Medicago truncatula: one gene and its partner. The protein of the gene in region 1 interacts with the protein of each later gene in a pairwise test. Links are inferred from orthologs where the notes say so. Each region holds a gene or a part of one and is shown in the gene's direction. Other genes may lie near its edges. The genes, in order: CBL-interacting serine/threonine-protein kinase 6 and calcineurin B-like protein 7.

Region 1 (7,087 bases):
TCAAATCTAAAATTGTGTATGTGTAAAGGTATGTTGGGATGCATAGTATTTAATTTGGATCACATTTGATTGGTCAAATAATATTCTGAGATCACTTACTTCTCATTTGCCAGAGTTCATACATCAATGAGCTTCTTTTAATACTTCAGCTTAACCATATTGATCACTGCTTCTATTTGCTACTTCTGGTAATTTTTAAATCAGTGTAGTTTATTTGCTAATTATATTTGTTTCAAATCCCATTTTGATTAAGTATGTGTCGCGGTGACTGCATTTGTGTTTTTCAGTTGGCGTTCTTTGTGTTTAGTGGTCAAGTGTTTAGTGGTGATATAGAGCACAAACAAGATGGGATTGAATTCAACCAGGAGGGGACAGATGCTGATCAAGACAATGATGATGTTTCCTTGATTGAATTGTTCACACATGATTAAATAACTGAACATATTAGAAGTCTGAAAAAGCAATCTGTTCAGGTTAGTATTCCTCCTTCCTGAAAATTTATGTTGTGTTTTCAATTATCTTGATCTGTTTAGGCCTTGCCCCTTCTTCATCAAGTAATATGAATTGAGTTTTAAGATAGTTTTCTTTGACTACGATATTGTATCAAGAGAACATTGTTTGTCGATTTAATCCCATCTGAAAGAAAGAAGTGTCTCCATGGGATATCAAATCAATATACTACTTTATGTGATGACGATGATGTACATATCCTAATAAATATTGGGAGGTGGTCCTTTGGAGATGCTAATTTTATAAAAAATTATGTTTTTGTTTCAGGTAAAACTTATTCAGAAGACAATGGAATACAAAGCTGTCTGTGGTTAGTGAGACGAAAGCTTTAAGGTTGTGACTAGTGCGGTTTTCAGACAGCAGACTGTTGTGGTTCAACTGTGTTGGCAGTGGTGATGTGCTGCGGTTTGCTACCTATGGTTTTCCTTTTTTAGCTTTGGGAGGGACTGTTGTATGGGACTTTGGTTTTGTTAGGGACCTGTATGGAAATGCACTTATGCGTTTGTTGAAAAGCCTTGAATTGCACTATGAAATTGGAGGGGATTGGAAACACTACTGTACATTTCGGTGGTAATTAAACATCCAAAATCAATTTTAATTTAAAGTATCCAAACAACATCAACTTGAAATAATCACTTTTATATATCAATTCACATCAAACACACTTTTGACTAAAATCAATTATTTTAAACTCAATTATGTCAAAATCAATTATCGTCACCGCCGTACCAAACACACACAATGACTTTCACCACACAAAAAACAAAAAACAAATTGACTTTCACCACACAAAAAAAAAAAACAAATTGACTTTGAAGCATAACTTTCAAATAGTACATCCCTGTGTAATTTAAAACACCATAATTAAGGTTATTTTTTTCCCATACATGTTCTTGTTTTAAAAATGGCTGGCGGGAATGGAGAGTGGATTCTGAAAAAATAACCCCGATTGCCATTAAAAAAATATTTCAATTCCTTGTCTAATCTAATACTCCTAAATTTAATTAACTTATTTTATCTACATCTACAATATCATCATCATCATATAGTAAACCCACCAATGCTGTGATCAGCATGTCCTCAATTAGTGTGTATAAATTAGTATGAGAATAATGTTATAAAAAAATGTATGAGAAAAAACAATTGGTTATTTATTCTTTTGGTTTGATATTAATGTCTGTCAATTATTGTACATACCTTTCAATTTCATATTTAAATTCTTAATAGGTGTTGTAATAAAAATAAATAAATTATGAGTCCTGCTAACCGGTGCCCCGGGACACTGGTTAAGCATATCATAAGAGAGAATTATTATCCTAAAAGAAAATTGTTTTTGACTTTATTATAAATTAATTACACAATTTCAATACATTAACTACTATATAATTTCCTTTTTTATATCCTTAACCAGTGCCCCCGGAACACCAGTTAACATTTCCCATAAATTATTGGTAGGTGCATATCATCATATGATCAAAATCAGAAGTTTCTTAGCACGCGGGTCAGATGGTGACTTCCCAAAGACATTGCATCATTTGCAGGTGAGGTGAGGATATATATCAAATGAATGTTTTTGTGTTGAGTTGATGGACCATCGCATTGAATTAAAAACAATTACACGGATGAAATTGAAATAAAAATATGGTGAAATCAATTTATACAAATTTACCTTATATGCATAACAATAACATGTATTATACTCATGTACTTATTTATAGATGCATCAATAATTTAAAATTTCAACTTAATTATAAAACAAAAATATATAAAATCATTATAATAAAGTGTCATGCTCATCAAACAACATAAACTATCCCACCAAATCATAAAAACATCTAAAAAAACAAAAAATTGACAAGTTTCTAAAGTTCTTTTTTATGGAAAGTTTCTAAAGTTATTAAAGGTTAAAACAAATCAATAAAAAAATTCTTCCAAATTGGGTAAAACTAAAATAAATTAACTCGGGTTAAATTTATGTTTCACTCAAAATTGATTTGACAACCAATTAATCTAATCGAAAATTCACTCTTAAAACTGTAAAATTGGGCAATTTTACATTTTAACACGCAATTTTAACAACAATGATAGACATTGTATCTTCACTAAAAACCTCAAGATATTAGATTTATATGTCGTCTCACTTGTATGTTTAAAGGAGGAAAAAAAAATCATATACATTTAAAGTTTAAATAAAAAAAAAAATGGGACATGAAGATGATTATATATTTTTAGTTGACTATAATGATTGCGTCAAAAAAAGAAGAGACTATATATGAAGACGAGCAAACAGTTCACTTGAAATGCATTATTTCACATGGTGGCATCTCAATCCAGTCCAAATGCACATTCCATTACATGCTAAATGTATTAATTATTCCAAAATTTGTAGTTATAAGAGCCACACTAACTATTGATCAAGTAGGTAGCAAATCTCTGCATATCTACGAGATCAAGAAACAGTTTTATATTTCAGATGATTGAAAGAAATTATTATACACTTCTGATAAGTTTGCTTCAGCGATGAAAATGTAGGAAATGTGCGTCCATCAAGAAGCTGTAATTAGATTGTGTTTGGTTATGCAGTAATTAAAATTAGTTTGATAGAATCGAGTTAAAAAGAACTGATTTTGAATAAAAGTGAATAGAACTAAAGTAAATTTATGTTTAGATACATTCACATAAAATTGGTTTTTATCACAGGAGCAAGATCAAGACCGATCTCTTGCTGCCATAATTCTTTGGAGTTTGTGGAAGAGTAGTAATACCAAGCTTTGGGAGGCTACAAACACTTCACTGACCCTCATTGTCTCTTGTGCTTATGATGTGCTACACGAATGGAGCTGCATGCAACGAGCTAAGCATCCGGCAAGCCCCCAAGATCAGCAACGGACGTGGACCAAGCCACAGGCCGGCCACATCAAATGCAATGTTGACACGACCAATTTCCATAATAACTCTATTATGGCTTATGGTTTATGCTTTAGAGACTCAACATGATCTCTATTATTAATTAAATCTAACTACTTGCACTTATCTTCTGTCTTAGACGCGGAATCCCTTGGTCTTCTCCACTTTCTCAAAATGGCGATATCCAACGATTTGCATAATGTTATGTTTGAAACGGATAGCAAAACTTTGGTAGCTGCGCTTCAAGCTCTCAATGTTCCATGTAATAAATTTGATGACTTGGTATCTGAAATATGTAAGAGTCTCTTATCTAATAATTTCGACTATGTAGTATCGTTTATAAAGAGACAAACAAATATGATATCTTATTATATTGCTAGAACCATATTATCTCATCCTAATCTCATATCTTTCATGACATATCTTCTTCTACTTGATATCCCTTGATTATTAATGAAATGTAGCACCTCTTCTTTGATTTAAAAAAAGTGAGCAGCTCGCTTCAGAAGAGTCGGGTCCGTCTCGAGAGACCTACCTACCTGTTAGTTGTCGTTGCTAGCCAGTGACATAGTGCCACGAGCTATTACGTGATTGTCACAAATTTAAAAACCGATCATCCACTGTTTGTTTTAAATCTAATTGCTGGTTTGCAGTTGCAGCGAGCCCCACAGCCAGGCTCCACCATCGTTTACGTCATGTCAATGTCTCACTCAAACCTCCTACCTCAAACAAAATAACATTATTCATTATTCCATCTATCTAATCTATCCATTCTAGCAGTATTCATATACTAACCAACCAGTATTATTATATTATCAATCACTCACACACACACACACTGTCACACATAATAATTAACAAAACAAAATAGGTTTGTCTTCTTCTATGGCGAGCAGCACTGCACACCATTCATTCATTCATGAATCAATCATGATTCAAAGTATTTCTCTCGCGGTTTTGGTTTCCTTTCCTAATCAATCATGATTCTATGTCTTATTATTATCATTTATTTAATACTTCTGAATTAAGAAATGAGAATAAAGTATATCAATTAAATAAAAATGAAAACAAACAAACAAACAAACCAAAAGAAAAAGACTGATTCGGTTTAATTTCATCGTCGCATAAAAAAAAAAAAAAAACGGTTGAAGCGGTGAGAAGAAAAGACAAGAACAATGGTCCATACACGTGTCCACCATCACCTAATCTGTCTTTGAGAGAGAACCGTCAGATCACCAATCAATTGAGACAATGAAAACGAAAGCAGAGACCAACCAGCACCGCCGTATTATAAAACCAAACCTAATATAAGTCAGTAATAATATAGAATTATTGTCGAAACCAAACACAATTCTTCAACCCTTTCTTAACCAATTAAATCATTCTTCATCGTTTTCATAATTCTCTGTATCTGTCTGTCTACAGCGAAGGAATGCAGAGAGATGAGAGGCCATTGCTATCGGTTCTCTCCATCTGAAGTTGTAAGCATTCTTACAAAACGAATCATTGGCGGTAGACATTGCCACCGCAAACACGTTGAAGACGGTTGATCTATTCTCCATCTTCATCTCTTCTTCCTTCATATTTCTTCTATTACTTTGTAAATACTAACTATGTGTGAAAAGGAAAACCCTAACTCTCACTCGGCTCTGCTCGATGGAAAATACGAGCTTGGTCGAGTACTCGGTCACGGAACATTTGCTAAGGTTTACCACGCCAAGAATTTGAATACTGGAAAAAACGTAGCCATGAAAGTAGTTGGTAAAGAAAAAGTGATTAAAGTTGGAATGATTGAACAGATCAAAAGAGAAATCTCTGTCATGAAGATGGTCAAACACCCTAACATAGTTCAACTTCACGAAGTCATGGCTTCCAAATCAAAGATCTATATCGCCATGGAACTCGTTCGCGGTGGAGAGCTTTTCAACAAAATCGTCAAAGGTCGACTCAAAGAAGACGTTGCTAGAGTCTATTTCCAGCAGTTGATCTCAGCCGTTGATTTCTGTCACAGTCGCGGTGTTTACCACCGTGATCTCAAGCCGGAGAATCTCCTCCTCGACGAAGACGGTAATCTCAAAGTCTCTGATTTTGGTCTCTGTACTTTCTCTGAACATTTGAGACAAGATGGATTGTTGCATACCACATGTGGTACTCCGGCGTATGTTTCGCCGGAGGTTATCGCGAAGAAGGGTTACGACGGTGCTAAGGCTGATATTTGGTCTTGTGGTGTTATTCTTTACGTTCTTCTGGCTGGATTTTTACCGTTTCAGGATGATAATTTGGTTGCTATGTATAAGAAGATTTACCGCGGTGATTTCAAATGTCCACCGTGGTTTTCTTTGGAAGCTAGGAGGTTAATTACAAAGCTTCTAGATCCGAATCCGAATACAAGAATATCCATATCGAAGATAATGGATTCTAGTTGGTTTAAGAAACCGGTTCCAAAGAGTATAGCGATGAGGAAGAAGGAGAAAGAAGAGGAAGAAGATAAGGTGTTTGAATTTATGGAGTGTGAGAAATCATCGACGACAATGAATGCTTTTCATATAATTTCACTATCAGAAGGATTTGATTTGTCTCCGTTGTTTGAAGAGAAGAAGAGAGAAGAGAGGGAGGAGATGAGATTTGCAACGGGTGGGACGCCGAGTAGAGTGATATCGAAACTGGAACAAGTGGCGAAGGCGGTGAAATTTGATGTGAAGAGTAGTGATACGAAGGTGAGACTTCAAGGGCAAGAAAGAGGGAGGAAAGGAAAGTTGGCTATTGCAGCGGATATTTACGCGGTGACACCGTCGTTTCTGGTGGTGGAGGTGAAGAAAGATAAGGGTGATACTTTGGAGTATAATCAGTTCTGTAGCAAAGAGCTTCGTCCTGCTTTGAAAGATATTTTCTGGACTTCTGCTGACCCTCCAGCTGCTTGATGAATTTTTTCATCATTAATCATAATGTTTGTTTAATTTACTTATGTTATGTCTCATTCTTCTCTTTGTAATAATTCTTGTTTAGGAGGAGCTTCATGTGTTGTTTTAATTATGTATGTTTCTGCTTTTGTATCTTAATCGACTAAAAATTCCTTGTCTTGTTTGTGTGTGATATTAATTTTATGTATAATAATTGGTTTTTATTTTTGTTTGTTTTAGTAACATTTTGCTTCATCCGTCGTCTAGACTTGATATTATTGAGGAATTTGATTTACTTGCTTCAACCCGTGAGGGATTGCATCAACTTGCTAAAATATCATAATTTTGCTTCATCCATATACAATCAAGATTATGAGGAATGAATTATTGGTTTACACCACCACCATCCCAAATTCCCAACCCGTGAAGGATTGCCTCAACTTGCTGAATATCATATTTGAGAGGCTGCATTGAAGAGCACATGGATGGGACCAAACTCACTTTGAACATGTGCATGTCATTTTCTTCAACCATAAGTTTTGTGGTCTTGATGTTTTTGATTAAAAAAAAAATTAACTGTTTCTTTGATAACTTTTTAGTTCACAAATTTTATTACTCCATTTAAATGAATTATAAAAATATATATATATATTGAAAAAACATTAAAGAAAAACATCAATTTTTTATTTTTTTTTGAAAGAAGATAAACATCAATTATTGAAAGTCGAGAACTATACAATTATTGAACATAGTTGGTGAAGAAGAAAACA
Region 2 (7,865 bases), on another chromosome or scaffold:
ATTAAATAAAAAAATATTTATACATTTTTTTATTTTTTGAACGACAAAAATATATGTATATATAAATAAAAGGAAAAATCTTCTTCTAAAAGAGTGCAAAGAGATACAAATAGTGAGTACAAAAAATACTTTAATCAAGAGGTAACAAAACAAAAGGATCTCTCCCAAAGAAAACAAGAGTGAAACTAAAACTAAAACAACACTAGACAACCAACCAACCTCCCATCAGAACACTCAACCTCGACCAAATAGAAGGAAGACTAGGAACAGAATCTCACATACTTGGCGCTTATGAGGTACCTACATTAAAGATTTTTTTTAATACCTAATGAGACTGAGGTCTTAATGAAGCATAAGACGATAATGATGTCTCATATAAGATCACAATTCTATTTTTTCAAAAATAAGTTGATCTAAAAAACTAATTTCATAAAATATATAAATAATTGATTTGTCAAAAAAAATCATTGATAAAAAATAATCAATAGAGTTAAAAAATAATTGGTTCTCATTACCCACTGACTCCATCTTTCGTATAATACATCCTTTTGTCTCCGTCTTTATATCAAGATTACATTGTTCATTTTTTGAAAATCCAAAGTATTTACAATTTTTTTTGATTCCATCGAAAATAAAGTAGCGAGTTGGATCAAGAAGGGAAAAAATACGAAACAATAAAAAAAAACTTAAGATCAATAGTTGTGGTTGTTGGTGAATTCATGGATAAATAAAACAAAACTCAATGTCGATTGAGAGAGAGGGGATATGGCTTTTGGTTTAAAAAAATATTGTTCTGAATTTGGATATCCGGAAAAAAAAAAATGGGCTTATAAAACTCGACGAGATTATTTGGATGATGTTTTTTCCATGTACCTGAATATGTTGCACATCCCTACATGTGGGTAGCAATGTCCAATGGAGATTGGTATACTAGGAGAACATTTGAAGATAGTAGAAGAAAATCGGAGCTTTTGGTCGTAAGGTTAGTCGAAACAGTGGATGAGAGTCGAGTAGGAGAATGTGCCGTGAGGGAGAGTTAAGGTAAAGGATATCTTGATCTACAATGGACCAATTGTCAAGTTGGTCCATATTAGAGTTCGTCTTGAGAGAGAAGTAAGAGGGAGAGAAAGGTAGGATAAATATGACACTTATTTCGTTTGGTTGAGGAAAGGTATATCAAATAAAGAAAGAAGTAGACGAGACCCACGTAGTTTTGGCTTCTTCGCTCAAGTGCGGAGAAATGCTTGTTGTGATAGAAGTAATTAAGTTTTTTTTCTTCCAAAAATACCCTTATTCATTTATTACTTCGACGACTCTCTCGTCTTTCTCTACAATACCTCTGTCAATTTTGTAATCTACTCCTAATGGCTCTCCCATCACAAAATTGGTGAGGAAGAGAAACATTTGACACTCTCGATACTCTGTTCATGATGTAGGAAGTTAGTATTATTTCAAAGAGACACAAATGTTTGTGTGGGAGATTCGATCCATGAAGGTATCATGTTATTGGAAGGTAGAGATAGTCAGGATGTCGGGAAAAGAGGAATGATATTTTGACTACAAATTTTAAACAACTTCTAGTGACAACATTTTTTCTCTCTTTTTATTAGACAATAACAATAGAGAGAGAAAAGAAAAGAATGAGAATAAAATTACAATAAAAATATAAAAGTGAGTTATCATAAAAGTTGCTTAGAAATGATTGTTCAAATATCAATTTTTTTTTTGTAAAAATGGTCTGTCTTCGTTGTTGCATTGTTAGCATTTTGATTGACTTAATAATAGTTCTATTAAAAATTACTATCAAATTATATATTATATATTTTTTTTTAGTTTAAAGGCACTCTTGTCATTTTCAAAATTAACTACGACTCTCTCTTCTCGCACTGTCTTGATCTCTTCTCACTATCTTTATACTACTAAGCAAAACAATAATGAACTAAGAAGACGCTAAAAAGCTCGTATTGAAACATGTAGTTCCTCACGATGACCAATTGCACTAAAGTGAATATTAGGTTGGCAATGAACCGACCAACTCGATTATAGTTCGACATTCGACTCGATATTTAATCCGTTGAACTTGGTTCATGAACCTAACGAGCTGGACTTGAGCTGAAAATTAAGTTCGTTAATTAAATGAGCTGAACTTGAGCTACATATAGTTCGACTCGTTGGGTTCATGAGATGACTCGATTATCGATTATATATATAAATCAATTTGAGTTAGTTTTTTAAAAAAAATTAATTCAAATGAGGCAAATGTGGCTGAATACAATTTTGTCTTGAAGGGAAGAGCAGTTGGAGTTTAAAAGTAAAAGAATATTATGAATTTTGTTCACAGCTAATTGAATTTTGTTGGATTTTTTTGTCTCTGTTACTTGTATCAGATATTTTTCTTCGTATTTATGCAACATTTAACTTTATATAATTTATGTCTATTATATGCATGCTTGTGGGAACTTTTATTTTAATTTAATATTTAATTTTAAAATATATATATATAATATCAAAGATCTATAAATTAATTTTTTTTTTTTTATAATTATTTTTGGACGAGTTGAGCAACCGAACTGAACCTAACAAGCCGAACCGAAGTTCGTGACCTTCAAACGAGCCGAACTCGAGCTGAAAAAATAGTTCGTGTCGAACTCGAGTCGAACCAATTCTTATCGAGTCGAGCCGAGCTCAGGCAGGTTCGGTTCGACTCGACTCATTTCCAGCCCTAGTGAATATTAATGTAATGCACATTTAGAAACAATGTAAGTTTGACAAAATTACAATAAAACCTTGATTTTGTTGAGGTGACAACTAATGTACCCATGGAAGAATGACGGATAATTTACCTCAACCAATGAACATTCACATTTTTAGGTAGTATCCATGAACTATTTTAACTCCACTAATAAATTGCTCATTTTCATTAGTTGGTAGGTAAATTACCACATTTTAACCTTTTGGGTTGGAGCACATTTTAATTTTTTCAAAGTTACAATGTCTTTCCGTAATTTTTCAAAACCGGCGCAGATCCAAACATGTGTATAGTTTGTGCAAATATTTCTTTACAATTCATGTAATTATTGTTGGTCGCCAAATTTAGTTGCGGAGTACTACTCCAGTTTTTTACAAAAGAAAAAAAAAAAAGAATACATATATTTGAATCAAATACATATACATTTTTACTTGTAAAAATCAAGGGGAAAAAATATATTTTCAGTCAATGTTGCAAAAGCTGCGTCGTCACAAGTGTTGCAGATATATGTTTAGCCTCTCCTTAACATATTAGATTAAGTGTTGCAGATATAAAGATGTTTTTTTTATTTTTTATTTTAGTGTAGTGTGAAGACTACTATCTGTCTATCACCCCAAATTGTATACCCAAGTGGAAAAAAGAGGAAGAAACGAATATTTCATTTTATACGAAACAAATCGCGAGCTCATTGTTTCATTTGTTTCTTTGATTTTTATGTGTATGAATATGAATGTCTATGTGATGTCTTCTTATGAGATTTTTTAGGTGTGCAAGTTGAGATCTCGCCTATTGTTCAATGCATAAACACCAAACGAGGGCTTAATCAAATAGCTTAATCGGAAGACAAATACTCAAGTAAAAAATACTAATCGGAAGACATTTTGTGAAAATGAGAAATCAACAAGTGGATAAGTTATCTTGGCTAACCCTGGGACCGTTTCACAATAGCTTAATCAAAGCCAAGTCAAAAGGAAAACAAAAATAATAAGATGCATTGTATTTTCTTGGTATATAGACTACTCATTTTGGTCTAAATTATAAGCAATTTTTCTTTTTAGGATTAATTGAATAATATATATATATATACGGTCTATGTTATAAATTAAATATATTGATTATTAAATGCATCAAATTATTATTATTATTTTGGTAAAAAAAAATTGAGATAATACGGTATTGAAGTCAATATGAACCTTAGAAAACATTTATTTAATATATATGAAGAGGAACTATACCGATTCCATCCATCTAAATAGAGTTTTAGTTGTTATCGTAAGCATACCTCAGTTGACAGAGACAATATATTATTTTTTTCTTACAATATATTGTTATATTAATTCACATCAAAATAAGGTTTGAACCCCGTATATTCTACTAATTCACATTAAAAAATTATTTCCTTTGTCCCATATTAAGTAACCATTTTTAAAAAAAAATATTGTTGAAAGTAATCAACATATTTTACTCTTCAGTGCAATATTAATTACTTTTTCCAATTATAACTTTATTTTTTATGTATTAATTATAACTTTAATTAATACTACTTTCAACACTTTCAATTCAACATAGTCCACTTTACATTGATGATAATGGTGAATGAATACTTAAGATATATTCCACTTTATATTTATGACAATAACACTATTTTTTTTCTCTCTCTCCTTCACTAATTAATTTTTCTTAATATATGTGTGAAAGAGTAATGCTAGCAGCACTTTTTTAAACACTCTTTAATAATTATTCTTTTATTGATTTAAATAACTGTGGATCTACACTTTGAAAATTAAACTCACACAAAATAGTGAGACATATATTGATTACATCCAATAAACCGAATGTGAAAAGAGTGTTAAAAAATTAGTGTTGTTACCCTTTCTGATGTTTGAAATAGGCAAATAACCAATTAAATTGTTTAATATGTTAGGGAGGGGTGAGTTTTAGTCAAATAATTATGGGGATGTGGCAATCAGCCAGCTGGAAGATACATATTAATTAATAAATAAATAATCAATGAGAAAAGTTGAAAATGTTGCGGCTCTAAATTCCATTTCCAATTCAAAATGTGGCAAGCAGCCCGAGGTTAGAGTCTAACCGTTTAGAATAGACGCTACTTCTCCGGCAACAACACATAGGACTTACTTACGTTTTATCTCCAATTCCCATTCCCATACGAGAAAGCAAATATCAAGATTTATTTATTACCACTCCAGACCTCACCTGTTATGTTGTACAGGTCAGTATCTCCTTTTCCCCTTTTTCTATCTGTGTTCATGCACTTTCATTATTAAACTATCTTCACCTAATATCGGATCTTGTTTCAAATTTTAAGCATCTTCACCTAATATTGCCTCTTGTTATTTATTATGAGTTCTATCTATTCAAACAAACATTTGTTCTGTTCTTGTCCTTTGTGCATTGTGAAAATTTCAATATCATTCCCTTTAATTTCTATAGATATCAAATTTTAGGTATTTTCGATTAGATGGAATAAAATGTTGATTTTGTTTCTATAGTTGATTGGAATTAATAAATTTAGCCATAAATTTTACATTGAAAAATATTAGAAACACTCCTTTAACACTCACTCTCCTATGAAATCCATGCTGGTAATTTTCAAAGTGTATACACTAAATTTCAACTAATTAAAGAGTATAAGTTAGTAAAAGAGTGTTTTGCAAATTATTTGATTTTCCTACTATATATCTAATATATTTCTTTACCTAACATATATGAGTAATGATTTGACAATTCAAATTGTGCTTGCTGCCTGAGAATAGTGTGAAAAGTTATGTAGTTTGTCGGTTGACAAAGAAAGGGACATCAGAAAGAGTAATGATAATTGATATAACATATTTGACAACTTCTGTCACAATATTCTTTATCACTCTTTATATTCAGAAAAAAAAAACAATTGTTCAAAAATTATCGTAAAATTATAACAAATAACAATTCTCATCCAAAAATTGTGAAGTGAGCCCCCACAACTTTTTATAGTCTTGACTAAACAACGAAGAAAATAATAGAAAGAAAGAAGCACCCATTTTTGTAGTTCTCACGTTTCACGTGAATAAAGTGGCCTGCCAAATAGAGTACTATTCCGACGGCCTTTACTGTTTTTTACTAGCGGAGCCGTCGAAGGAATGGTAGGGGGACTTCTTCTTATAAGAGGCAGGGCTAGAACTTGTAAAGACACATATTTTAAGGATTCTCAACTAATGTGAGATTCTAAACACATCTTCCGATGTTCCGTTAACATTTACAACATAATCTTACTTGTGGACATCCTTGAAAGAAGAGTCTTATAATCACACTCTATTCAACATTTTCTCTAATACTTATTCTTTTGTTGAATGAAATCAACGTAATATTCTCATTTTAAAAATGAATTCCACATAAAATGATAAAATTTCACTCAATGAAAGAGCAAGTATTAAAAAAAAAGTTAAAAAAAAGTGTTCTTTAAGACTCCTCATCCATAAAATTGTATGATGATCGTTGCAAAGACACGTAAGAAATATAACAAACATGTATTTCTCTGGCCTCTGAGTGCTCATATTTTAAGGTATTTTGTTTTGTTTTTTTATATTTATGAAAGGACGTATCCTTCTCATCCAAAATCTAATTTTTTTTTTTTTTTATATATTTGAGAGAGTGACTTGTCCCTTCACTTGTTGTTTGAGGCCATGTCTCCTATCCTCGAGGAGCAACTTGAATTTCGTATCTTTTTTGTGAATATTAAGGGAGTGACTTCATTTTTATTTTATTTTGTATAATCCGTCATCTCTTACCTCTTTTTTTCTTCTTTTCTGCCAACCAAATATTGTCAAAGTAAGATGAGGTAGGGATAATGACTAATGAGGATGACTACCCATGTACTCTAACGGCTCTAAAGGCTAAATGTACATCTCCTACTTGTACTTGATTAGAATTGCCTGATTATTAATTAAGGTTGTGTTATTTATAAGCAAGTGGGGGAGGCCTATAATCTGTTCACCTAATTAAGTTTTCTCTGACTGTGTTATTAAAGCTCCATCTCTTGCGTGAATCATGCACATGACAACCTTTCTTTTCTTTTAATTTTTTTTGACGGATTTTCCTTTAATTTATAATGGGTTTTTTCAATCATTTGCTAATTAATTTGCACATATTCAAAAGTTTAAAATAATAAATTTATACATGATAGAAAAACCCATAATAAAGTCGTCAAAAGTTGCTTGAAATCCATAAGTTATATTTCAAATGATAATTGTCGATATTATTAAATCGGACACCATTCTAACATAAAACATCATAGTTATACGTCAACTTTAGATAGTGTGTATGTATCACTTCACTTCATCTACAAATCAAACAAAAAATAACGTGGCCAAATTATACGAGGCTGTAATGAATGGTGTCTTTAAACCATGGAGTAGGATCCTTTCTTGTTTTAGCAAAATAAAACAAATTCCGTTGTTTTTATATTATGTCTTTGTCTCCTCCATACGAGTGATACATGACATATCGTGTCCTTTTTTATTTTGAAAATAAACATAGCAACAATTTTGAGCAATCAAACAAATTTAGCCGACTCCATTTAAAGACTCGGATAGAGACGTGTTTTCTTTTGGATTATAGTGTTATTAGCCGACTTCATCATACCGTGATTTCGTCAAATTCACCATCAATCAAAACATGTACGAATAATTTTTTTAAGAAATAGATGTGACCCTCAGTTAAATATTGCATCATGAACTGGTGCCTCCTATTAATCAATCAATAGATTTGATACCGAGTTTGAAGAAAGTATCGTATCATGATTGAGTCATCAAAGTTGTTTTACCTCGTGTTTTTTTTCTGTTATTTTCTTCAAAATAAAATAAACCGAGAGAAGAAACCAGTATTTTAATTTCTTTCTTGATTTGCTTTGAGTTTTTCTGCAAACTAAATATTATTTATTAAGTTGTGAGTTGTATGGTATTGGTCAGTAGGGATAAGCTTGTCAATTCAATTCCAACTCATATGTTTCTACTTACCTTTGGCAAACGTGTATTTAAAGGTTTAATGTTGCTTTCACATGTTCATATAAATAACATAACCGAATGCCCGGTGAAGTTTGGTACTCCTGAATTTGTAT

Evidence for each region.
Region 2: the proteins of CBL-interacting serine/threonine-protein kinase 6 (region 1) and calcineurin B-like protein 7 interact in a two-hybrid assay, tested with the Arabidopsis thaliana proteins (2 studies listed by BioGRID). The link is inferred for Medicago truncatula from reciprocal best matches to the Arabidopsis thaliana genes SIP3 and SOS3.

The regions. Positions count from the first base shown.
Region 1 is NC_053045.1:62,830,471-62,837,557, forward strand, and holds CBL-interacting serine/threonine-protein kinase 6, read left to right. Parts: upstream 1-4,719; 5' UTR 4,720-5,030; coding exon 5,031-6,338; 3' UTR 6,339-6,545; downstream 6,546-7,087. UniProt on the Arabidopsis thaliana protein: CIPK serine-threonine protein kinases interact with CBL proteins. Binding of a CBL protein to the regulatory NAF domain of CIPK protein lead to the activation of the kinase in a calcium-dependent manner.
Region 2 is NC_053044.1:45,064,313-45,072,177, reverse strand, and holds the start of calcineurin B-like protein 7, read left to right. Parts: upstream 1-4,777; 5' UTR 4,778-4,982; intron 4,983-7,658; exon of another isoform or gene 7,659-7,865.